Linked DNA regions of Diceros bicornis minor. The protein of the gene in region 3 purifies or fractionates together with the protein of the main gene of each other region. This does not show direct contact. Links are inferred from orthologs where the notes say so. Each region holds a gene or a part of one and is shown on either strand. Other genes may lie near its edges. The genes, in order: PPP6R3, ARHGEF2 and ANKRD28.

Evidence for each region.
Region 1: the proteins of ANKRD28 (region 3) and PPP6R3 purify together in Homo sapiens (co-immunoprecipitation; 3 studies listed by BioGRID and IntAct, with this or other methods). This does not show direct contact. The link is inferred for Diceros bicornis minor from reciprocal best matches to the Homo sapiens genes ANKRD28 and PPP6R3.
Region 2: the proteins of ANKRD28 (region 3) and ARHGEF2 purify together in Homo sapiens (affinity purification with mass spectrometry; 3 studies listed by BioGRID and IntAct, with this or other methods). This does not show direct contact. The link is inferred for Diceros bicornis minor from reciprocal best matches to the Homo sapiens genes ANKRD28 and ARHGEF2.

The regions. Positions count from the first base shown.
Region 1 is NC_080770.1:5,505,305-5,513,347, reverse strand, and holds the start of PPP6R3 (serine/threonine-protein phosphatase 6 regulatory subunit 3), read left to right. Parts: upstream 1-4,972; 5' UTR 4,973-5,059; intron 5,060-8,043.
Region 2 is NC_080743.1:59,647,449-59,655,273, reverse strand, and holds the start of ARHGEF2 (rho guanine nucleotide exchange factor 2), read left to right. Parts: upstream 1-4,758; 5' UTR 4,759-4,882; intron 4,883-7,825. UniProt on the Homo sapiens protein: Activates Rho-GTPases by promoting the exchange of GDP for GTP.
Region 3 is NC_080741.1:22,236,257-22,243,989, reverse strand, and holds the start of ANKRD28 (serine/threonine-protein phosphatase 6 regulatory ankyrin repeat subunit A), read left to right. Parts: upstream 1-4,681; 5' UTR 4,682-4,832; coding exon 4,833-4,949; intron 4,950-6,085; coding exon 6,086-6,169; intron 6,170-7,733. UniProt on the Homo sapiens protein: Regulatory subunit of protein phosphatase 6 (PP6) that may be involved in the recognition of phosphoprotein substrates. Involved in the PP6-mediated dephosphorylation of NFKBIE opposing its degradation in response to TNF-alpha.

The DNA.
Region 1 (8,043 bases), on a different chromosome or scaffold from region 3:
CGCCCTGGGTCCAGAAGCCACCTTGGTCTACAGCTGCCCTGGGCAGTTGAACAAAATCCATATGGCCAGACCTTGGCATGTCCACTGCCAGGTAGGATGCTGGGGAACCGGGAGGGGGTGAGGTGAAAGGTTTTGTCCTGGAGAACCCCGGGTGGTTGGGAAGTTGGGTAGGGCTTGGATACCACGTGGCCCCTGCAGGGTTTCTTCTCGAGAGCCACTCAGCTGTCTCTTCACAGGACTAGGACCCCCTCGTTGGACCATACCCTCAGGTCACGGTCTGGGGTCCCACCAAGGAGCCCTTTGCTGGCTCCCTCTCTCGAGGTCTTCGCCCAGATTCCTATGCCTCTATCTCCTTCTCTGGACCCAAATGCCCCCTTCTCTTTTCTTTCCCCATAAGCTGGATGGCAGCCCTCGTCATTAGCAACCCCAGCAGCTCCTCTTTCTACCAACCCCTGGATTATCAACAGTCCTTTGCTGGGAAGGGAAATACTCACCTCCTCCCCAACCCAGACTGAATCTTGATGCAGTCAAGAAAAGGATGAGACAGGAGTTAAATGTCCCATGTTAAAACGGGTCCACCTTCATCTGCCTCTAGAGATCGCTATCTGGCCCTTCTCTCCAGCCTCAACATGTTTTGACCAGAGCCAGCGATGAGCCAGCACCAGCCCGGGCCCTCCCGAAGCATGTCCTCTGCCTGGGTGGCCCCACTCCAGCCCTCGGGTGAGGACGGAGCCCTGGTGACATAAGAAAAGGAAAGACAACTTTCTCCCCAAGTTGAGCTTATTCATCTTAAAGTCTTTTTCTATCTGAGTGTATGCGTGTGTTAAAATGTTCTTTCTTTGAAAAGGGATTTAAAAAAAAATTTATTATTATTATTTTACGGGGGAATTTTTGCCCTAAGCTAACATCAGTTGCCAATCTTCCTCCTTTTTTCTTCCTTTCCCCCCACAAAGCCCCAGTAAATAGTTGTGTATAGTTTTTGTTTTTGTTTTTTTTGTGAGAAAGATCAGCCCTGAGCTAACATCCATGCCAATCCTCCTCTTTTTGCTGAGGAAGACCGGCTCTGAGCTAACATCTATTGCCAATCCTCCTCTTTTTGCTGAGGAAGACCGGCTCTGAGCTAACATCTATTGCCAATCCTCCTCCTCCCCCCCAACCCCCAGTAGATAGTTGTATGTCATGGATGCACATCCTTCTAGTTGCTGGATGTGGGACGCGGCCTCAGCAGGGCCGGACAAGCGGTGCGCACCCCGGGATCTGAACCCGGGTCGCCAGCAGCGGAGCGCACGCATTTAACCGCTAAGCCACGGGGCCGGCCCCTAGTTGTGCATAGTTTTAAGTTTTTCTGGTTCTCCTCTGTGAGCCGCCACAGCATGGCTACTCTACTGACAGACGGGTGGTGTGGTTCCCTGCCAGAGAACCAAACCCGGGCCACTGAAGCAGAGCGTGCTGAACTTTAACTGCTAGGCCATAAAGGCTGGCTCAAAATGTCGTTTTTTTCATGAAATCCCAGTGATAGTAAGTGGTATTTTTTTTTTAATATTACTTGAAAGGATTAAAATTTGGCAGCTGTGTCTGTTCCCAAAAGTTAAGGAGTAATAGCTGGGTGATGGGTAGTGGGCATACTTTTCTCTCCACTTTTGAGTATGTCTGAAAATATTCATGTAAATTTTTTTTCAAGCCTAAACGGATTAAAAATTTAAACATTAAAAATTAAACCACAAAAGGATTGGGGGGAAACAGGGGAAGGTGGTGATCCGTGAAATCTAGAAGTTTTAGGATGGTGAAGCCAATCCAAAGCTTCAAAGTCACTCTCTTGCTTAAAGCCTAATTAATAGCTCTCCATGGCCCTCATGAGATGGGCTGAGCTCAGATGCCTGCTCCTCCAGGAAGTCCTCCCTGACATCAACACTTCTGGATAGGTTAGGAACTCATGATGATTGAAGACTATGGGGCCCACTTACGTTGGGTGAGGTACTATACTGTTTCCTTTAATTATAGCGCACATGGCCCTATGACCCACCTCAGAGTCTGGGTTGGAGAAGCCTGAAGCAGGTACTGGCAAGTCCTTTGATGATGAAAGAGCAAAGGGATGGGTGGGTGGCTGGGCCCTCCCCTGGCTGCCAGAAGGGCAGGTCCCAGCCCTTGCTGTCCCCTTCTGCCCAGGCCAAGCCTCCCTCTCAGGCACCAACCCTGTCCCGGGGTTCCCTGCAGCCTTTCCCATGCTCCTGTGCCACTGTGCTTCCATAGTTTCCTCTGCCAGGCATGCCTGCTCCCTCCCCACCGAGGGTAGAGACTTGTCCCTCTCTCTAACCCTCTGCAGCACGCACACCTTCTGAGCTGCTGTCAATCTGGACTGTGTTCCTCACCAGCTGTGTGGCTGTGGGTAAGACCTCTAGCCTCACTGAGCAGCAGGATCAATGCGAGTAACATCTGCCCTTGGTTGCTGCCTCCCCGGAGGCCCAGCACACTTCAGGGCATGGACACAGGTTGGTAGCTACAGTATCATTACCAGTCCTTCGCAGATAAGAACTGGAGAGTCAGAGAGGTTAGATCACTCAGCCAATAATGGGCTGCACCTGGTATCTAAATGCTTTCTGGGCCTCAGTTAACTAATCTGTAAAATGGGGATGATAATACTGTTCTGGGGGCTGGCCCCATGGCTTAGCGGTTAAGTGCGCGCGATCCGCTACTGGCGGCCTGGGTTCGGATCCGGGTGCACACCGAGGCACCGCTTCTCCGGCCATGCTGAGGCCGCGTCCCACATACAGCAACTAGAAGAATGTGCAACTATGACATACAACTATCTACTGGGGCTTTGGAGGAAAAAAAGAAGGAGGATTGGCAATAGATGTTAGCTCAGAGCCAGTCTTCCTCAGCAAAAAAAAGAGGAGGATTAGCACGGATGTTAGCTCAGGGCTGATCTTCCTCACAAACAAACAAACAAACAAACAAAATACTGTTCTGAGCTACCAGCAATGAACTCTTTCTAGAGAGTCTGCCTCCAGCCACAGGCTCTGCTGAGGGGGTAAGCTGGGGGGGAGGCATGTTTGCACTGGAGACCCAGCTCCCCAGGCGCTGGGGTTGACCCAACTCAAGCTGGGCTTCCCCGTTTGGCATGGGGGCTCAGAGAATCTGGGTCAGTGATGTGGAGGGAGCTCAGGTCAGCTGGGACCAGTGCAAAGGGCAGAGGTGCGGGTGCAGAAAGATACCAGGCATCAGGAAGGCAGGCTGGTGGCCAACTCTGCTGGTCCTGCCTTCTCCATGCTCACTGTCACTTTTCTTGGGCGGCAGCCCGGGGAAGCCTCCAGTAACACGCCCTGTCCTCCTCGAGCAGGAGTGGCCACCCCTGACCAAGCCATCACCACCAGTCAGCTGCCCTAAAGCCTGGGAGGGACCCACAAGCTCCCTGCATGGAGCCCCCTTGTCACTCCAGGCCCCTGCCCAACTGAGCATCCGGGATTATTGGTTTCTCCTGGGCATGCTGGCATTCTCAAGGCCCCGCACGACCCAGTCACTTCTGCCACCTCCTCTCTCTGCCATGTCCCTCTCCCACTGCAACCCAACCATGCCTGCCTCCCCAGCGCTCCAAAGCCCCTCCTTGAGGTCTCTGGTCTCCCTCTCTAGCACCTGGAGCCAGGAGCTCATGCTCAGTCCTCCCTGTCCCGCGGGTTGAAATGCAACCTGCTCAGGAAGGGCGCCCACTACTGTTTTATTTACCACCTGCTTAGCACTACCTGGTGCGGCCCAGGTGGTGTCTGACCGTCCCCCACAGGCGGTCAGAGCCGGGACCCTCTGCTCCCCGTGCACGCCCGCAGGCTGGGCGCAGACCAAGTGCCCACGAGAAGGCTGCCCACGAATGAGCAGCGCCCCCTCTTCGGCAGCCACCAGCCCAAACCTCCCCCACCGCACGCACACCGGTGGGTGCGCGATTTTGCGTCCTGCTGAACCCCGACTGGGTTTCACGCGGGCTAACCTCGCCTGCCCTTCTCAGTCCTCCGCCCACTTTCGCCCGCGGCTGATTGTCACGTGACCCTGGACGGCGCTCCGCATCCATTGAGGATCAAGGCAGGTTATTAGCAGTAAGTGCGTAAAGGTGAGCAGATGGTGGGCTACTCCTGGGTGTCCCCGCCCGGCCCTCTGCAGGAGGCAGGGAGGTGGCGGGGGCCCCGACGGGCATTGTGGAAGAAGCTCGTGTATCAATCCTTCCGCAGGGCAAAAGGGAGATCCCTGCAGTTCTCCTCTCTCGCGGTGGTGGCCGCCGCACAGCTAACTAAGGGCACACGACCCCTCACTTTGACCCCACTCCTGGCACAGCCACCTTTTCTCGGTAAAGTGACCACGACGGGCGACCGTCTTTATAAAATGCAGCCTTGGAGAATGCGGGCATCGATCCCGCTACCTCTCGCATGCTAAGCGAGCGCTCTACCATTTGAGCTAATTCCCCCTCTCAGGGTGGTTTCCGCCGCCGGAACACATTGTGGCTCACGTCATCACCGGTTTCCTCCAGGCCCTCCGGCTCGCCCGCCCGCCCGCCGGCCTCGCTCCCCCATTGGCTCCCCGGCAGCTCCCAGTTCCCGGGCCACGATTGGTTTGGCTCGATTTCATTTTAAAAAGCACTGGCTATCGGATTGGTGGTCTGAGCGTCCGTCAAGCAGAGGCCCTGCTGTTGCTACGGCGTAGGGGAGACCCAGCCAGGTTGCGCCCGGTTTGATTTGCTTCTTCAGACTCCGGGGTCCTAGAGGTTCCGGATCCGTCAAGTCCATGGGAAAAGAATGCGCCCCTCGCGCTTGACGGACGGGGCCCGCCAGCCAATCGGAGTGGGGGCAACGGGGCCGCTGGGCGATCCAATAGGTCGCAGGGGGCGGGAGAGGGAGGCCAATGAGCGCGAAGCTGGGGGCAGGGGCAGGGCCGCGATTGGCTGCGAGGCGGCCGGGGGAGGGCGGGGGGAACTCAAGGCCTGCTTGATACGTCCGCCATTTTGGGCGCTTCGCTGATGGTGTCGGTGAGCGCGTTTCCCGCCTGAGCGCGACTAGCGGCGGGTCGCGGGCGCCTCCAGGTAAGGTGGGGGTGGGGCGGCGGCGCGGGCCGCGGCGCGGGGGCCGCGGGAGGCGCGGCGCGCGGGCGGCGGCTGCGGCGGGGCTCCTCTGCTCGGCCTCGGCGGCGCAGGGAGGGAGCGCCCCGGCCCCCTCCCCTCCCCCCCGGAATTCGCCGCCCGGCGGCCCGGGAGGCGCGGTGCCCGGGCTCCGGTCCCCGCTTGTCAGCCGGTCGTCCGCGGGCCGCGGGGTCCCTCCGGGCCGGGCGCCGGGGCGGGACGCGGCCGGGCGGCGAACTTTGCGCCCGCGCTGACGTCCGCGGCCTTGCGCGGCGGGCGGCGGGCGGCGGGCGGGGCGCGCCCCTCACCGCCCGGCTCCTCCGCCCGCTCCGCCCGCCGCCCGGGCCCCGGGAACTCCCTTCGGCGCGGCCCGGAGCGGGGCCGGCGGCGGCGGCCGCTCGCCGGAGCCTCGCGAGGCCATCGTTGGAGTCGGTTCTCCGGGAAACAAGTTCTGTGGGTTTCTGCTCCGCCGCCGCAGAGTCATTGGGAGCCGCCGGCCCCGGCTCCGAGGGTTTAAATCGCCTCCCGAGCGCCTCTCCAACTCCGCACTCGAGTGCGTCCCCGGGCACGGACGCTTCCCCGGCGAGTGGGAGCGAGGGGCTGGTCCTGCCGGGGCTGCGGGGACCTGCCTCTTAAAGAAGCCTCTCCGTGCGGGTTTGGGGGGCTCCTCCTGGAGCCTGCCGGCTCTGATCGCAGCTGGCCCCTCGGTCGCGGGTGCCCGGCAGGAGTCCTTGGGTGCATGTCTGCGTCCTGATGTTCCAGCGTCGGAGCTTCCTGTGATTTTCCCGGGACTTCTCCGCGGGTCGCCCGGAGCTTTGTTTATATTTTGCTTTTATGGGAGGGGCGCTCGGGAGCTGTTTCCTTTCATCCTCACGGCACTAGTTCTTGTGGAGTTTACTTCGGTTTTGTGCTCAAGGTCATGCTGCTGGTAGGCAGCAAGTGGGAAAGAGACGCCCGATTTCCAGCCGCTGGAGGGTCTCCTAGGAGGTGGTGGTGGCTGAGCTGTCCTCACTCTGGAGTTAGACTGCCCGGATTCAGATCTTGGCCTCACCGCTTTCTAGCTCTGTGACCTTGGACAAGTTACTGACCCTCTCTGCTTCCTCTGTAATGTGGGAATCATGAGAGTGTCTATCTCCTAAGTTTGCTGGGAAAATGAGTTAATACATGTGCAGCGGCTAGAAACGGTGCCTGCACGGAGAATCAGCTTAGTAATTAGTGGCTGTTATTAGTTTAAGTTTGATTTTTAAATGTTGACATACTATTAGGAAGTCAAATGAGTGTTTAAGCTCTGGCGCTTTGCGACTGTGTTTAGAAAGCTCTGTATATGTAAGAGTCAGTGGGGCTGAGGAAACGAATTGGAAGTTATTTTAATTTTTTCGGAGAAGAGTGGTTGAAGATTCACTGAATCACAAACGTTTCCTGGAGTTGTTAGTGGTGGTGTCTCAGAATGTTTTGTTTAAGAGGTGGTGAAATAAAGAAAGGCCCATCAGGTGCAAGTCAGATTCTGTCCCTCCTGTACTTTTGGATACTACTCCTGAATATGATTGGCCCCCACATCGGTATCTCCAGGGTTTTTCAGTGTACTGCTGGGTTATTATGGGGTCTGAAAGGTTACTGTGTATTGGAATATACTTCAGTGAAGATAATTTGGGAAATAGCTGTTGTCCTGGATGGGTCTTTGGGAGCTGTCTTGCTTTTCAGTGTGTCCCATCAGGGAGTCTAGAATATCCGACAAAGTGCCATCCACTCAGTCACACGTACACTCGCAGTGTTTAATTCCTGCCCTGTGCTCTTCTGCCTGGTATTGGAAACCATGCGCACCCTTCCCTTGGTACTACTTGTTTGGGCCCTGGCCTGCCTTATTGCTCTGGGGAGGTTTTATTTTGATAGACTCAGGCTTAAGTAGAGATGAGCATCTTGCTGGTGTAACTTACTCAAGAACAGGAAGAAGATTGTTTTGGATTAGAAAACTAGGTTTTTTGTAAAGTATAGCAAAACAAAAGAAAGTCTTGCTAGTTTCAGTTAACTACTTGAGAATTTGGGAATCAGACCACATAGTTGGGCAGAAAATGAAGAGTAATAAAATTAAGACTCAACAGGGTGAGGTTTGCTTAGCTTCTTTAAAAGAAATTTTTGCATGGATTTGGTACAAAGGTAATGTGCTTATTACACATAAAACATCTCATCCTTAAAACGTTATTTGTCAGAATCGGTATTTAGTTTGTTTCTGTGATAAACTTGTATCTTTCAGTTTTATGTTTTGGATATTTGAGAGGCAATCTGAGTGTGGATTGGTCTAAAATTTTACGATGTTTTATTACCCTTAAGAAGACCAAATGATAGTGACAGTGAAGCTCTTCTAGCTATCTGGTCAACTACAACTCAGCATTGAGTCTATTTCATAAAAAGCACAGGAGACTGTAGTTTGATCCTCCTCACATGTCAGTGTCTGAGCCCCACTGTGGCCTGTGTAGTGTGAGCTACTTTTATGTGAGACGGACTGAAAAAATAGATTTGGCCTCTTTAGCTTAAGCAGCTTTCTGATTTCTTCCCTTTCTTAAGAGGACCTCAAATGATTGGTTTTTGATTTATTTTAGATCAGTGGTTCTCAACTGGGGGGCGATTTTGCACCCCAGAAAAACATTTGGCAATGTCTGGAGACATTTTTCTTGTGACACCTGTGGGGGTGGGCAGTGTGCTACTGGCTTCTGGAAGGTAGAGACCAGGGATGCTGCTAAGCATCCTGTAATGCACAGGACAGCACCGTTCTTCCCCTCGCCCAACAAAAAAATTATCCAGCCTCAATATCAGTAGCGCCGAGGTCGAGAAACCCTCCTCTATTTAGATAGATGCTAGACTGGCCTGCATGAGAATTGTTTGGGACACTTTTTAAGACCATGGATGGTGGACCCCACCTCTGGAACTTTACGGTGGGATTGAGAATATAT
Region 2 (7,825 bases), on a different chromosome or scaffold from region 3:
CCCAGGATCATGAGGTTATGAAGGTGGCAGAGCTAGCAAATCGGACCGACTTCAAAGCCACTATAACACCCTAAAGAAATTATGGTCTCAGAGTTTTGAATAACAGATGTCTCTCTCTATTAAAATATTATGTGCTCCCATATCAGCGCCCAGTACAGTGTCTAACGAATCACTGATGACTAGTGTGGTAGGTGGAGGTTGCAACTCAGAGGAGGAGGCAGGAGACACTGACAGTCTGTGTTGGTGGGAAAACCATCTGATCTAGAGGCAGGAAGATAAGTAAAACAACTTCTTAGAGCCCCTTCTTGCTTTCCTCCCCTGCCCCCATCTCGAGTGTCCGATCCCAGACCTATTTCAAAATCTCTTATCTCTCTGTTCAGCGGAAGCAGTGATGTGACATGATGTGATCTCATTCGGGAGCTAAATAAAGCCATTGTGTGAGACCCAGCCCTGGCTGCTCCCTTGCACCGTTTCCTGAGCTCAGGGAGGCTAGGGGATGTGGGATGGGGGCTGGGAGAGAACTAATGGAAAGGGAAGCAAGGAAGAGAACACAACCATAGGGGCCCCAGCTTGAATTTCAGAAAACGGAGGAGGGAATGTCTCTGGGTGGGGGTTCAGGAAACCTTACTAAACCTCATCTCTTTAAAGGATAGAATAAAAATTGACATAATAGCATGGAGGGGTGGAGTTTAGAAAACAGGAAAAACTTTCTGAGAAATGGAATGAAGATCTGAGGGAGAAGGAGCCCAGTGGACTCCATTTTCACAGAGGGCAGAGACTGTGAATGAAATGACAGAGATGCTGGAAAAAGGGTAGATCTTTGAGGTCAGATTCCAGTTGGTCTGAGCTGGAGGAAGAAGGGTGAGATCTCAGGACATAAAGATCTCAGGATCAGAAGGTCTATCCACTGGGCCAGGGTAGCAGGGTACCATCTCCAGCAGATGGCGTCTCTAGGAACGGAGGGAAAGGAAAGGGCTTCAATTCACTGCATTTCATTCATCTTGCCAAATCAGCCCTGCAGGCAGAAGTAGGGCAGGGATAGCAGAGAGAAGCTGGCTACAGGGGGTGTAGCTCAAGCAGTCTTTTCTCTTTTGTGAGGTCACTGAATGCCAAGCACCCAAGATCCTTGCAGCGCTGCTTCGGTGCCCCTCAATTTCTGTCCTGTTCCCAGCCCCTCTTCCTCTTTTCTTAGTCAGCACCTCCAGTTCATGCTCTTCCCTCCACTGCCACTTCTCACAATACTTTTTTGTCTGTTTCCCTCCTGCCCCCCAGATCTCAGCTTTGGAGACCACTGGTTGGCAGGGACCTTGCTCCGGCCCTCAGCCTCTGTCCTGCTCCCTCCAGATCTGCCTATCGCATTTACAGACAGCACATCAGATGGCATGAGGCCCAAGTCTGTAGACCAGGAGAGAGATCTCTCCTCGTGGCTGGCTGAGGGGTCCCCTCTACGTTGCTTCCAGATGTAATGAGCATGGACAGGCACAGGGCCTGGGCGGGTTTCCTAGGCCTCTCCTTTTTTATCCTTAGACCCACCTGGCAGGGCAGCAGAATGCTGTCTGCAGAGGCCTGAGCACTTGTCTCCCTCCTTCCCTGCGGTGGACAGGCATGCACTCGACACAGGCTCAAGCACCTTCTCAGCCACCCTGAGTGGGGGGAGGGGCAGTGGACAGATTGCAGTGGGAGAGGGAAAAGGGGAAAAGTTGATTGAAGGAGCAACTTTCCAACAACGTGAATGCTCCTGCGGGGGGAGGGTAATAGCACAGAAAGCCTGGGAGGAGGCAGGATTCTTGCTCACAGCTTCCTGGTCTTCCTGGGAACTCCCAACATCTCAGTAGCTGGGAGTGGTCCCTGGAGAAGGGGAGCCTGGGAGACTCATCCTAACAGAAGGTCCAGAGAGGCAGGGCCTATGAGTGAGCTGTACAGAGGTATGCAGTAATGTTAGTTCCCTTCCTGCCCCTCCACCGTCTTGGTCCTCTGGAATTTGGTACTTCTTTCTGGAATGGGGCTTATCATTTCAACTTTAAGAGCACCCGAGGGTTCTTAACTCTGAGACACACTGAGGCAAGCCCTGATGGCATGTGGGAGGGTTGGGCAATGACAACAGTGCAGTCCTGGGAGAGAGAGAAGGAACTGCGATGTGGCTGGGATTTGGAGCCCTTCTCTGTGCTGCACGAGGAGAGGTGGTAATAGCTCTCTTACTCCCCATATGACCAGAATTTTAGAGGGAAGAACTCACAATACTTTCTCACTCCTGAACCTTTCCTCCCTCCAGCTTTATCCGCCTAGCCTCCTCCCTCTCCAACTTGGCCAAATCCTAACCACTCCACCCCTCCAGGCCCATCTCAAAGCCTATCTACTCCCTTCTGCCTCCCTTTTTTGAGTGTCCAGCTGGTTATTTGGCATACTCTGGCCAGTCCGTCATTTGTGATTTGTGCTTTTGTCTATGTGCACACACGTGCATGTGCACACACACACATACTCACTAGACTGTGAATTCCTTGAGGACAGGAACAATATCTATTTCTCTTTTCTTGGCTTGGTTTTCTGCCATTTAGGTGCTCAGTAAATGGAAAAATAATGAGTGAATGAGGATGTCATTATGTACTGGTAAGAACACTGGACTGGGGGGCCGTCCCAGTGGCATAGTGATTAGGTTCACCCGCTCCGCTTCAGCAGCCCGGGGTACACAAGTTCGGATCCTGGGCGCGGACATATGCACCGCTCATCAAGCCATGCTGCGGTGGCGTCCCATATAAAATAGAGGAGGATGGGCATGAACGTTAGCCCAGGGCCCATCTTCCTCAGCAAAAAAGAAGAGGATTGGCAACAGATGTTAGCTCAGGGCTAATCTGCCTCAAAAAAGAACACTAGACTGGGTGTCAGAAAACCCAAGTTCTGGACTTGGCTCTGCAGTTAATTCTTGGTGTGATCCTGAGCCAGCCTTCTCCAGTTCTGTGCTTTAGGAAAGGGAGGGGTGACTAGATACTCTAGGCCCTGCTGACTGTGACATCTTTCTAGTTCTAAGTTTCCTGAGTTCTAGAACTCTGCTCACCCTTCTCTGTCTTCTTGACTCAGACTGGCCTGCGTGTGCCTCCCATGAACAGAGACGTCCCAGGTGGAGACCTGGTACCCCAAGGCCACACTCGCCGCTGCCTGTCTGCAGTGGAGTCCAGAGAGCAGCTGGAGGAAGAGGAGGAGGAAGAGGGAAAAAAGGAGGGAGATGGCTTCCATGCTGTACCCCTCCGAAGGTCGGGGGCTTTCCGTGCCCAGAGCCACAACTATGACCCCTTCAAAAGACATAGTTGGGGGCCAGGCAGGGAGCTCCAGGATCCAATGAGCAGGTAAATCCCCAGGGGACTTTCTGTCCTCCTTCCCTCAAGTCCTAGACTCAGGAGAAAGTGGTCAGAAACGAATGACAGGAATTGAAGAGACTTGGGTCCCTAGTCTCTTCCCTAGGGAATCAGAACCTGGGCCTATGGGAGGGCTTTGGGGAGGATGGACCCTGCCTTTCAAAATGTGGCTCTCCCTAGTGGTCCTAGCACCTTCTTTCTACCTGGTCTCAAGGGCAGGTGGGGGTCAGAGTGGAGGGGGTAAGGTGTGGAGTTGGGGTGAATATCAGGACATTTGGTCTTATTGCCTCCATCTCCACTTGGGTTTCATAGACGCATACAGAGATGCCAGAGCTGGAAGGGATTCAGGGATCATACGACCCAATCTCATTTTACAGATGAGGAAACTGAGGCCCAGAGAACTTTGGAAGGTTTCTTTCTTGAGAGAAGTGGTCACAGGTTTGGAGCATTGAATCTGCCCCTTTCCCAAATTGCTGCCTACCTGCTGGGTCCAGGCTGAGGCAGACCCAAAATGTTTTGGTCATCATAGTACAGCCCTGCAATGGGAGAATAGCTACTCTTGCTCAGAGGTCTGCATATGCTTGGCAGACCGGAAAAGAGGGACCCATCTCTTCTGCTTCTCCTGGAAAATCCCTGACCACTTCCCCAAAGACAGAGGAAGTCAGAAATAGAAGGCCTGGGGTGAGCGTGAAGAGTTCAGTGTGAGTGGTCATGTGAGGGCCTGCTAGCCATGGAAGGGCACTGTCTCTCTGCTTTGGCAATGGTCCCCTTGGACGAGTTCCCTTAGCTCTGGTGAGTAGACCAACTTTCTCTAGCTCCTGGGCAGGGCTGGCTGGGCCGGGTTAGGGGAGAGGACCCTGCACCTTGTCCCTGAACTGGCTTGGGTGGGAACTCAGGAGAGAACCTTGCCTGCAGGGCTCATGGCACCTTCCTAAGAGCAGCTGGTCCAAGGCAGAGATGCCCTGGGTACCCCTTATGTGATGCCAACTGTATCTCAGAGTCTTGCAGGTGCCATCTTTCACTATCAGGCATCAATTCTTGCCCTTTGGGTAGAGAGGGAAAGGAGCCCTGGGCACGCTATTCAGCTGAGTCGGGGCAAAGGCTGTCATCAGAAACCAGGCAAGGAGTGAGAATCCAGCTTGCCCTTCATTTGCCTCTCCCGGAGCACTGGCTTTCTTCTGGAGGGCAGTACTGCCTGTTGACCAGCAGGGGTCACTCTTGCCTGTAGCTAGCTCTGCACCTCTGCTAGAGCACAGCCCCAAAGAGAGGCTAGTTTGGGTCTGAACTGAGCCTATGCCAACAGGAAGGGCTGGGCTGGGGGCAAGCAACAGGGCTCGGCTGAGGCGGTGTTCCTCCCTGGTGCCCGTCAGTGGCCACTGGATACCGAGGGCGGTGGTGGCAATGTGTGTTTCAGGAGCAAACTGCAGGCATCGGGATGCGCGGGCCCCCGGGAGGCCCCCTTACTGCAGAGCCAAGAGGAACTGGACACCTTTCTGGAACTGCAGCACCGAGGTGGCCAGTCCTCCCGCGTGGTATGGACAGACTAATCCCTATGGAGGCCACTGCCTTCCTCCCCCTCTCCTGCCTCCTTGCCTGTCCAGCCACCACTCTGTGCCTCTTCTGTTCTGCCAGCTGCTGGATTTCTCTGTGCCCAGGCATCACTCTGACTCTATCCGACTGAATCTGAATCTGTTGTCTGTACTCCTCTGTCTGCTTCCCTGGGTCTGTCTGCTCTGTTCCCCACTCTTGGTATCTTGCCTCTGTCTCTTTCGCTAAGACTCTCTGTTCCTTCCTTTCTGTGTCTGTGTCTCTGTGTTGATGTGGGTATCTCTGTTCCTCTTTCGTTAAAAGGCCCCTATTCCCCTAGTTGTTAAAACCACTTCTTTCTGTAGACCCCCACATTTCTCAGATTTGGAGCTGAACTTATTATTTGTGGGATGAAACTAGGCATCTGGTACCTTGAAAGACAATAGTTCTCTAACAAGATAATCATGAGATTATCAAATGAGACAGGATAGAGAGATTGCCCAGCCTTCTGGCTTAGGGAACATAACTGGGGGGAGCTCTCAAACCAGGACCTAAGGACCTGAGGATATGAGGGCTTTGCGAGACACCACTGGGTCTACTAGCTAAGACTTCCTGAGTACACAGAAATGTCTCAAGCCTGGTGACTAAATGTTGCCTCCCTTCCTGCTCATCCTCTAGCTGGCCAGGGTTACCCACCCCAGCCTCATTGTTCCAGTGCCTGTGGTTTGGGAGACAGGCTGAGCGCAAGAGGCTGTTACAGCCTGTCAGGGGAAGACCCATCTGATCCCCTCACTCACTTTTCTCCATCAGCATCTCTGCATGTCTTCCCTCACCCCCATGTCAATATGGTATCATAGAAAGAACAGGATTTGGGAGTCAAACTGACTCTGAGATCCTTCATTTACCAGCTGAACAATTCATGTCGTCTCTCTGAAAGCCAGGATAATAACAACTGTCTTTTAAAGTTGTGATTATTCAGTGAAAATAGGTGTTCAAGTGCCCAGTACAGAGGCTGGCACACAGGATGAGTGCGAGAAATAAGTTTCTTTTTCCTCTTTTCCCCTCTGTTCCTTCATACTCCTTTCCCTCTCTTCCACCTGTCTCTTCTCCCCACTTTCCACTTTCCCCTTCTTGGTATTATATGTTCTCTTCTTTCCCCCCTTTCCCTAGTGTTTTTTTCTCTTTTTATGCCTTCCTGCTCTGATTCCTCCCCTCTCTCCACCTAATCTTTAAGCACTCCCCTTACATTTCTCCTTGTCTATATGTTGGAGGTTTTTTGTTTCTTCCTGCAGTAATATGTGCGTATCAGTACTCTACCACAGTCCACGGAGCAAAAGTCTGAGACTCATTAAACTCGACTGGGGCTTGCAGACTGACGGTCTATGAGCCAAGTCTAGCTCCAAAATTTATTTTGTTTGGCCAGCATGGTGCTTACACTTTCTAAAATTCAGATGTCCTTAAAGGAGGCCTGTGCGCTCCAGTTTGCCAGAGTTGCTAATACCCTCTGTTGTATTTTTTCCCTTTGTCTTTTAAATATAATATTTAAAAATGAATGTCTGGTAAATTGACCACCCATCTCAAGAACTAGAACATCACCAATACATTTATCTTTGTTTACGTCTTCCTCTCTTCTCTTATTCTCTTGCTTCCCCACCAGAGATAATCACTATCTTGAACTTTCTTTTACCACTCATTTACATTTTTTATAGTTTTAACACAGATATATGCATTACCTAATAATATATCATTTCTTTTTTTTTGTTTCTGAGTTTAAAAACAATGATGTTATATTGTACAAAATTTTCTATAACTTACATTGTCATTCAACATTCTGTTTCTAATTTTTATCCACGTGTTGCAAATAATTATAGTTCATTCATTTTCATTCCATTCTTCTGTTCATGGACATTTGAGCAATTTCCATTCTTTGCTATTATGAAGAATTGTCGATATGAACATCCTTTTTATCCACCTTCTGGTGCACATTTGCAAGAATTTCTCCAGGGTGTATACCTTGGAGTGGAATTGTTCGGTCGTAGAGTGCACAGATGTTCATTTTTACAATATAATGGCAAATTGTTTCCACTCCCATCAGCAGTACATGAGAGTTCCCATTGATCCATATCCTTTTCAACATTTGGAGTCATCAGATTCCTTAATTTTGCTGGTCCAGTAGTTATAAATCTCATTATGGTCTTAATTTGAATTATCCTATTACAAATGTGGTTGAGCATCTTTTCATATGTATTTTGTTCATTTGTGTTTCCTCTTCTGTGAAATTCCTCTTCATGTCTTTTGCCCATTTTTGTATTGGGTTCTTTGAGGGTTTTTTCTTTATTGTTTTGAATGTGTTCTTTATATGTTCTGAATACTAATTATTTGTTGTTATACGTGTTGAAGTGATCTTTTCTCAAAGATGGAGAAATATGGTTTGTCTTTTCCCTCTCCCATAGTGTCTTTAAATAAAGAGAATTTTTTAATTTTTTAAAAATTAACATATTTATTGGAGTATAACATACATATAAAACATGCATTAAAAAACTTTGAGGGGCCAGCCCGGTGGCACAAGCCGTTAAGTGCGCGTGCTCCGCTGCAGTGGCCCCGGGTTAGGCAGTTCGGATCCCAGGCGCGCACCGATGCATCGCTCAGGAAGCCATGCTGTGGCGGCGTCCCATATAAAGTGGAGGAAGATGGACACGGATGTTAGCCCAGGGCCAGTCTTCCTGAGCAAAAAAAAAAGGAGGACTGGCAGATGTTAGCATAGAGCTGATCTGCTCACAAAAAAAAAAAAAAAAAAACTTTGAGATTTTTATTGGAGTCGCATTGAATCTAAAGATTAGTTTAGAGAAAGTTGACATCTTTATCATATTGCTTATTCCTATCCATGAAAATAGTATACCTCTCCATTTAATGTCTTTTAATAAATTTTTATCATTTTTTCCGTACAG
Region 3 (7,733 bases):
CGTCCAACGTACAGCAACTAGAAGCATGTGCAGCTATGACATACAACTACCTACTGGGGCTTTGGGGGAAAATAAATAAATAAAATTATTTTTAAAAATGGTGTAAAAAATGTAATCTAATTTGGCCTAAAATTTAAGTGCCTCAAGGAAAACCCACATCCCCTTGCCATTGGTCAACTGAAAGAAAAAAAAATGTTGAACTTAAGTTTACACAATCTTTGTCAATAGTTTTTCATCATATGTACTGTCTCCATTCCTGATTTCTTAAATACTTGTTTACCTGTCTCCTTTTCCTTTAAGATGTGAGTTCCTTGAGGTTAGGGGACTGTCTTATTCAGTAGAAGATATAAAACAGTGCTATATGGTGCTGTTAACTTAAATAATAAAAAATATTGGGCCAACCTCGTGGTGTAGTGGTTAAGTTCAGCGCGCTCCGCTTTGGCAGCCTGGGTTCGAGGGTTAGGATCCCGGGTGTGGACCTACAACATGTCAGCCATGCTGTGGAGGTGACCCACATACAGAATTGAGGAAGATTGGCACAGATGTTAGCTCAGGGCGAATTTTCCTCAGGAAAAAAAAAAAAAATTGAAGTATTTCTCTCTTTGTATCTTTGATTATATAGTATATCGTGGGCCAGTACTTGTTACCCTTTCTGTTTCCCTAGACTATAAAATACAGTGAATGTGGAACAATGGAAAAACCTGTAGTCCTACTTCTCACCTAAGTTTACTGCTCCCTCCCCCTAATAATACTTAGTAAACTCTTGTCTGGTTACTGGAGTGTAAGACAAATTTCTAGCAGTCTCTCGAGACCTGAAAAGGGTAGAGACTTAGCAACTGAATGGGATCTCCAGTCTGAATCACCTCACCAGTAGGGAGGATGTTGTCAAGCTCTGTCTTTACAAGGGATATCATTCAACTATCCTAAATATCCATAATAATAATATTATTTTATTTTAAACTTTATTTAAACTATGAGTAACACTATAAAGTAGTTAATGTCACTTTAATAGATGTTGAAATGATTTACAGAGAGGTTAAGTAACTTGCTGAAGGGCACACAGTTATGTTTGTTAGTGGGAAGCTGGATTTAGAATACCAGCAGTTTGGCTACAAAGGCTACATTCTCTCTCACTGTGCTATTACAGTATTTCTCCTAGGTAAAAAATCTCTGGAGATTATTATTATAAAAGTGTGAAGAAATTTAAACTCAGAGGTTTTAAGTAGCTTGCCTGAGGACCCAGCTAATAAATAATGGAATCAGAATGTGAACTTCAGGTAGGCTGACTCCTGAGCCCTTAGTTTTAGCTGTCATCCTATATTATTGTTTTATATCCTGTCAACTTCTGCATTTAAGTTGTTCACCTGCTGGAGGTACAAAACTCATTCAGTTACACTTTAATGCCTCCTCTGCTTTCTGATTAAAATGTGTGTATTAATCCCCCCCATTGTCCTTTATAATTTTGCCATTCTATTCCAGAGTCTTGTGACATAATAGAGTTTATTTCAATGAAATGATTTACAGGTAGAAGAAAGTAGAAGGAAACAATACATATATAACACAGGTCGCTGCCTTCAAGGAGTTTGCTTTCTGGTTGGGAAAGACCTAAGTATGAAAGTTGACCTAGAACAATAAACAGGATGTACCTGCTTACATCTGAGTAGCTGAACTTATACACTGGATACTTTGGAACAAGTTAAAATTGTCTATGTAAAAAGAGATTTCGTTTTGGGGGGAGGGGGAACCCTGAAGATAGAATATAGGATGTTGTTATTATAGTGGTTTCATTTTCAGATATCAAGATGATATTTTTGATTTAGCCGTGTGGAGATAGTTAACATCATTTTTGTATGTCAAAATATTTGCATGCCTTTAATTGGGCTTAAAACCATTTTATATATTTTAAAATACAACTATGTGAATTGTGAGCATATTTTAATATCTTGGTACAGTTATGTTAGGGTTACAGGTTTTTTTGATATTTAATAGTTTTTGTTCTTAAATTCTGGCATTCTTAAATTATCTCTATCATGCTAGGTTTTTTTTTGTCTTGATAAGTAAACCGGCTTAAACGAGTGAGGTAACACTAGCCCTGAAATACCCATTTAAAAATAACTTGTTTGGGAATATTATCCCAGTAAATAGTATATTCCTTTGTTACCTAAACTTTTCACAACTGTTATAGGTTACCTGTCTTTTAAGATCACTTTTACAGTCTAGTAGTATGGGTTGCCAAGATCTTGAGACTGTGTGTGTGTTTGTGTGTGTGTACGTACTCATTGGAAGCAGAATAGATTAGAAAGAGCGTATGTTTGGAATTAGGTACAATTTTATTAATTTACATGATTTTGGATAAGATAATTTGAGTCTTTTTTCCTCTATAATAGGGGAATGTAGCAAGGTTATTGTATGAAATGAGAATGTATACCACCTAGTACATCATAAATGTTCAGAAATAACTATTATGTGTATTAATAAAAATTCTGGTTGATAGAAGAAAGAAGATGATTGAAGGAGAACCATGGTTTTTTCTTTTGGGAAATATCCCCATCGGTGAGTAAACAGAGAAAGAGGAGAAAAGCCAACTGCTAAAAATTGGTTGTTTCTGGCGCTTCTTTATTGCTTTGGGAAAGTTAATTTTATAGAGGAGGGAGATTCTTTGCTTTCTTTGTATTATCCTATGCCTTTTTGACATATAGATAATTCAGTACCAAGGACTTTAAACAATAGCTTTATGTAGCTATATAACAGATTTTAAGGCTTTATTCCGTTTCTGGATGGGAAGGTAGAAATATTTAATTTCTTTGGTGAAAATTCAAAGATCCATAGAATTTTAGAGTTAGGATTTCTATAAAAATTATGAAATTTTTATTTTTTCCCTTTAAAAATATGACTTGATTAAATTCAACAATTTAGAAATTGTTAGTAAATCTTAAATTTCTTTTGTGTAAACTTGGCATCTTGAAAATAACATACATCTAGTAGATTAAAAATGGTCTTGGTATAAAATAAGAATAAAATCTTAGGTTTGTGGTTTTTGTATTCTCATAAAATATTTCTCCATCTCTAGTTCTCTTTTATGGGTTCACTGCAAGCATTATTACTGCAGCTGTCGTTACAGGGTTAAACATTTGCTGTATTGTAACATACGAAAGCAGTTAAACTGTTTGGAATTGTTTACTTGCTAAAACCAGTGTTAGTCAGCAGAGGCAGTACACCAGATTTCCTTGTGGCTTTTAGTGGAAAATGTTAAAAGCGCACTCATTTTTCAGTTATAGAATTTTTCGGTTTGATCTGGATTAGTCACAGAACTGGCATGAACCTTCTAATTGTGAAGGCTGTCCAAAAGCACTATTTTTTTCTTGAGCTAGAGGAAGTTACATCCTGAGCAGTAGCTCAGATCTCTGGTAAGTGTAACATGTGAGCATTACTAGGCATTTCATCCTGCGGTTCTGCAGTCTTTGCTATTCAGACTGTTGCTCAGTCGGAATGCTTCTGTGGGGCCGATCCTGAGGTTCAATAGATATTTTTTAAGGACCTACTCAATTGGTGGTGTCGGTGGGGTTTTACAAGATCATCTGAGGAACAGGAAAGCATCTGAAATCTACTGAAAAGGATAACTGTAGCGGTTTTCACCGTGGAAGGAAACTATATTGGCACAGAGGCAGATGATTGAATAAAGTAGTTGGCTCAAAGAAGATGCACAGTCTGCTGTTTTTTCCCTGAATGAAGTCTATTTAATGGAAGCTGTATTCATGTGGAGATCAAAGGAAACACTGGAGTGATAAACTACTGGTTTTTTTCCTCTCTCTCTTTTTAAAATGAAAAACCTGAAGCAGTAATTTGAGCTCAAATGCCTTCTAATTCCTTCGTACCCTGCGTGTTCAGCTAGGATTCTCCACTAACACCATTTCTGCCTGGTGCCTGTGCCCTTTTGCTGGAGCAGCCACAGACAACTGCCTGATGGAGAAAGAGTGAACGTTTTGCCTTGCTCATGCTATCGATGGGAATAAAGCTATCTGTGTTTCTTCTATTATATGGGGTATCTGGATTACTCAAGCTGTATTCTAGTACCAAGAGTCCTATTGTCTTTTGTGGTCTGACTCATCGCATGTAAATGTACTGCAGCTTTGCTATTAATGCAGAGTGTTGTTTTTTTCCTTTCCCAAACACAGAAAGAATTGTCAACCTCTGAGCTTCATTTTAAGAATTTGTACTGAGCTCTAGATGTATTTTTTTTCTGGATAGTATCTGCATTAAACCAGTGAAGCTGAAGAAATGAAGACAAATTAGAAGTGGAAACAGAATAGTGAGATTTTTATTTTTTATTTTCGGTTATTGGCAAACCAGCTACTGGTAACTATATGACCTTGCAGGCAAGAGTGGGTATAGCTGTAATCATCTCTGTCACAGCAGTTGTTTCTCATTTCATTCTGCATCGTGCGATATCACCCAAAACAGTGATCTTTTTATGCAAGTAAATTTCTGTGGGACAGAGAGCAATATGACTATTTTGGTAGGGTAAAAATATTTTTAAATGAGCTTGTATTGGACTCAGTTTTAGTTATTGACATGTTGATGTGAAATTTCTTTTAAGTTATTGCAGTAACCCAACAAAAAATAATAGAATTTTGTTGTTTTTAGGAAGTTAAAAGTTATGTAGTCAGAATTTTAAACTTAAGTTTTTCCGATAGTACTTATTAACTTGAAAACAGCTGCGCTGTTCAGAGGATGATTCTAAGCGTTGTGCAGAAGAGGAGGAAAAACTACTTGTGCTCGTCCAACTGTGACTTTTATCACATAGCTTAAAATTTAGTATTTTAAAAGAGCGAATGAGTCGAGTGTGTATTGTTGTTTTGGAGGAGGTAGAAGATGAATCTCCTGCATTCATTTCTAAATTGCCACAGGAAAATAAATCCCTACATTCTCCACCTTCTGGAAATGCATTGGTAAGATATGAGAGTTAATATGTTTACTATATTCTGAACTAGTAAATTTTATTTTTTAAGAATAAACATAAGTTAATTTTCACTGGTTTTATTAAAAACCCAAATTAAAGCAATATAGGTGTGTAAATATGATGCAATATTACTTGTGTATAAAATGCACACATTTCTGATTTTTACTTTTTCAGATGTTTAACATTTTAAACTTACTATCTCTTAACCGCTTAAAAAGATTTTTTTTAAAAAATAATTTGAGAATAGTAGTTATGGCAATCACGTTTCTGTTTTCATTTTGTGGTTTTAAAAACTGATGTAACAAGAATGAGGAGCTGTATGTTTTAGGAAAGGTTGACTACTGCCAGCAACACCACTGCCTTTTCTGTAATGAATTTTATGTATTTACGTGCAAGACTTATATTTGAAAAAGAATCAGAGTTCATTCTTAACCTTATTTTTAATGCTTTTGTCGGTTGGCTTCTTGTTTGACTAGTATAATATGATACCTTATCATAGAGGCTGTGTCGTTGATTAAGAAATTGTTATATTTAGATATGCACGTGTTTGCCTCTTCAGGTTATTCAGGTATACAGTACTTTTTGGTGTTTGAATAGTAGTGATTTTCATCAATTGCCAGATTTTCTTTTTTGGATTTATACGTTTATACATGCAGTGCTAACCTATGCTAGTTATTTTGATGGTCCAAACAGAACTTTTCAAAGAGGCCTTCCTTCATGAACCTCAGCGTGGGCTGAGAACTGCTAATGTTTGACAAGTTGTGTCCCACAAGTAAATGTTGAGATGTCACACTTGTGTTTGGAAGAGATTTTCTTTTTACCATATATATAAACAAAGTCTTCCACGCATAAAAAGTAAAATCTGATTGTGTTTATTATGCTACCTAATTTTGGTCATGCTGAATTGATTTTTTCTTTTTTTAATTAGGCCTTCTTTTTTTTTCCAAGGAAGAATCCTGTACTTGCATACGATTTGACTTCATAAAACTTTTGGTTAATGTCAAAAACCAAATGATTATTGTTGCTATAGGGAAGAAAAGTTTTAGACTTAAAAATTATGTGGAAATATCTTTAGAATCATCCATGTGGTGTGATTAATATTTTTATTACTCTCTTGTATTTTAGCCTTCACTGGTGCAAGCTATATTTAATGGAGATCCTGATGAAGTTCGAGCACTAATATTTAAGAAGGAAGATGTTAACTTTCAGGTAAAACAGTTTACTCATACCAGTCTTTAAACCTGCTTTTAAAAACCTCTTTCCTAGAGTTATGATTTTTCTTATAAAGATATAACACAATTCTGTAACAGTGGTTTTAATGAGGGCGGAAGGGTCTTGAGGCAAAAAAGAAGGGACTGGACATATATTCAAGGGTAATAACTAAAACACAAGAGAACTAGGAGCTAATGAAGGTCCTTTGTTTCCCAACTTTTTACTTTGAAATTTTTCACAGAAAAGTTGAAAAAATACTCTGAATACCCATATACCCTCGACTTAGATCTAGCATTGATAACATTTTGCCACATTTGCTTTCTCTCTCATATTTACACAGATTTTATATATATATATATATGCATATATCTTTTTCTTTTGCTTTTACTGAATTCCATTTGAAAATAAGTTGTACACATCATAACATTTCACTGTTAAATACTTCCGTACATTTCAGATGAGAGTTCTTTTTTGTGAACTCAAAATAAAAGACATTTCTATTAAGTTTATAATGTATCTAAGTTGATTATGAGATTAAATTTCTTTCTATAAGTAATCATGGTAAGCATTATATACAAAGATTCATCTGTTTGAGAGTCTCAGAAAAGAAAGACATACTGTTTGAAAAGTCTCCAAACTTAAAGATTTAGTGGATTAAACATTCAGGACTGACATGAGGTGCAATTTTAGAGTGAGTTTGTGGATAATTTCTTCTCTGTATATGATTCTCCAGTGGCCAGTAGTTTCTTTAATTTACTAAGTTGAGGCTGAAAATATATAATTTACTATAATAAGATAAAATTCATTAATGTATGTATTTTTACTGGAAATGTTTTCAGTACATTTTTCATACATAATTCAGTCCTCTGAATTATGGAGAGTGGGGAGGAAAGGTCATGATTCATGAAGTCACTATAGCAACACCAAAACAGGTGACCTAGAAATGATTGGTAGTTCTAAGAAAGGCATACCCTGCAAGCTCATCTCAAACTCTCGTTTTTTCTCCATTCTTTAGTAAAATACTACTGTGACCACTTAATGTTAAGTAGATGTAAAAAGTATTTATCTTATTTTTAAAAGTTAGATTATCTGAATAGATGTGAATCTTTAGCTAAAATGTTTCATTCTAACATTGGGTAGTGATAGTGATCAGGATGCTATCCTTACATTTGTTTCTTAAACCTTCCTAAGTGAATTGCATATAAGTTTATATGTATTGGAAACATGCGCCTAGTTCAGGATTTCTTTCTTTATTTTAAATGGAGTGCCTGGTCACTTCACCTAGTTGGAGTGTCCTGAAGAGTCTCCTTTTCGTAGGATGGAAATAGTTATAGGGTATAGACTTATGAAAAGGAGGAAAATGGCTTTTTGTTTTAACTCTTTTGGGTTTTTTTTTTTTTTTTAATAGTACTCATAAATCTTGTCTTGGTGAGCAGGTTTGGACTGTAATCCTACCTACCCTGGTTAATTTCTTCATCATTACAAAGTCTCACTATAGCCAACAGAGCTTTTCTGCTATATTAATCAAAATATCCTAAATTAAAAATTTATTCAGAATCAT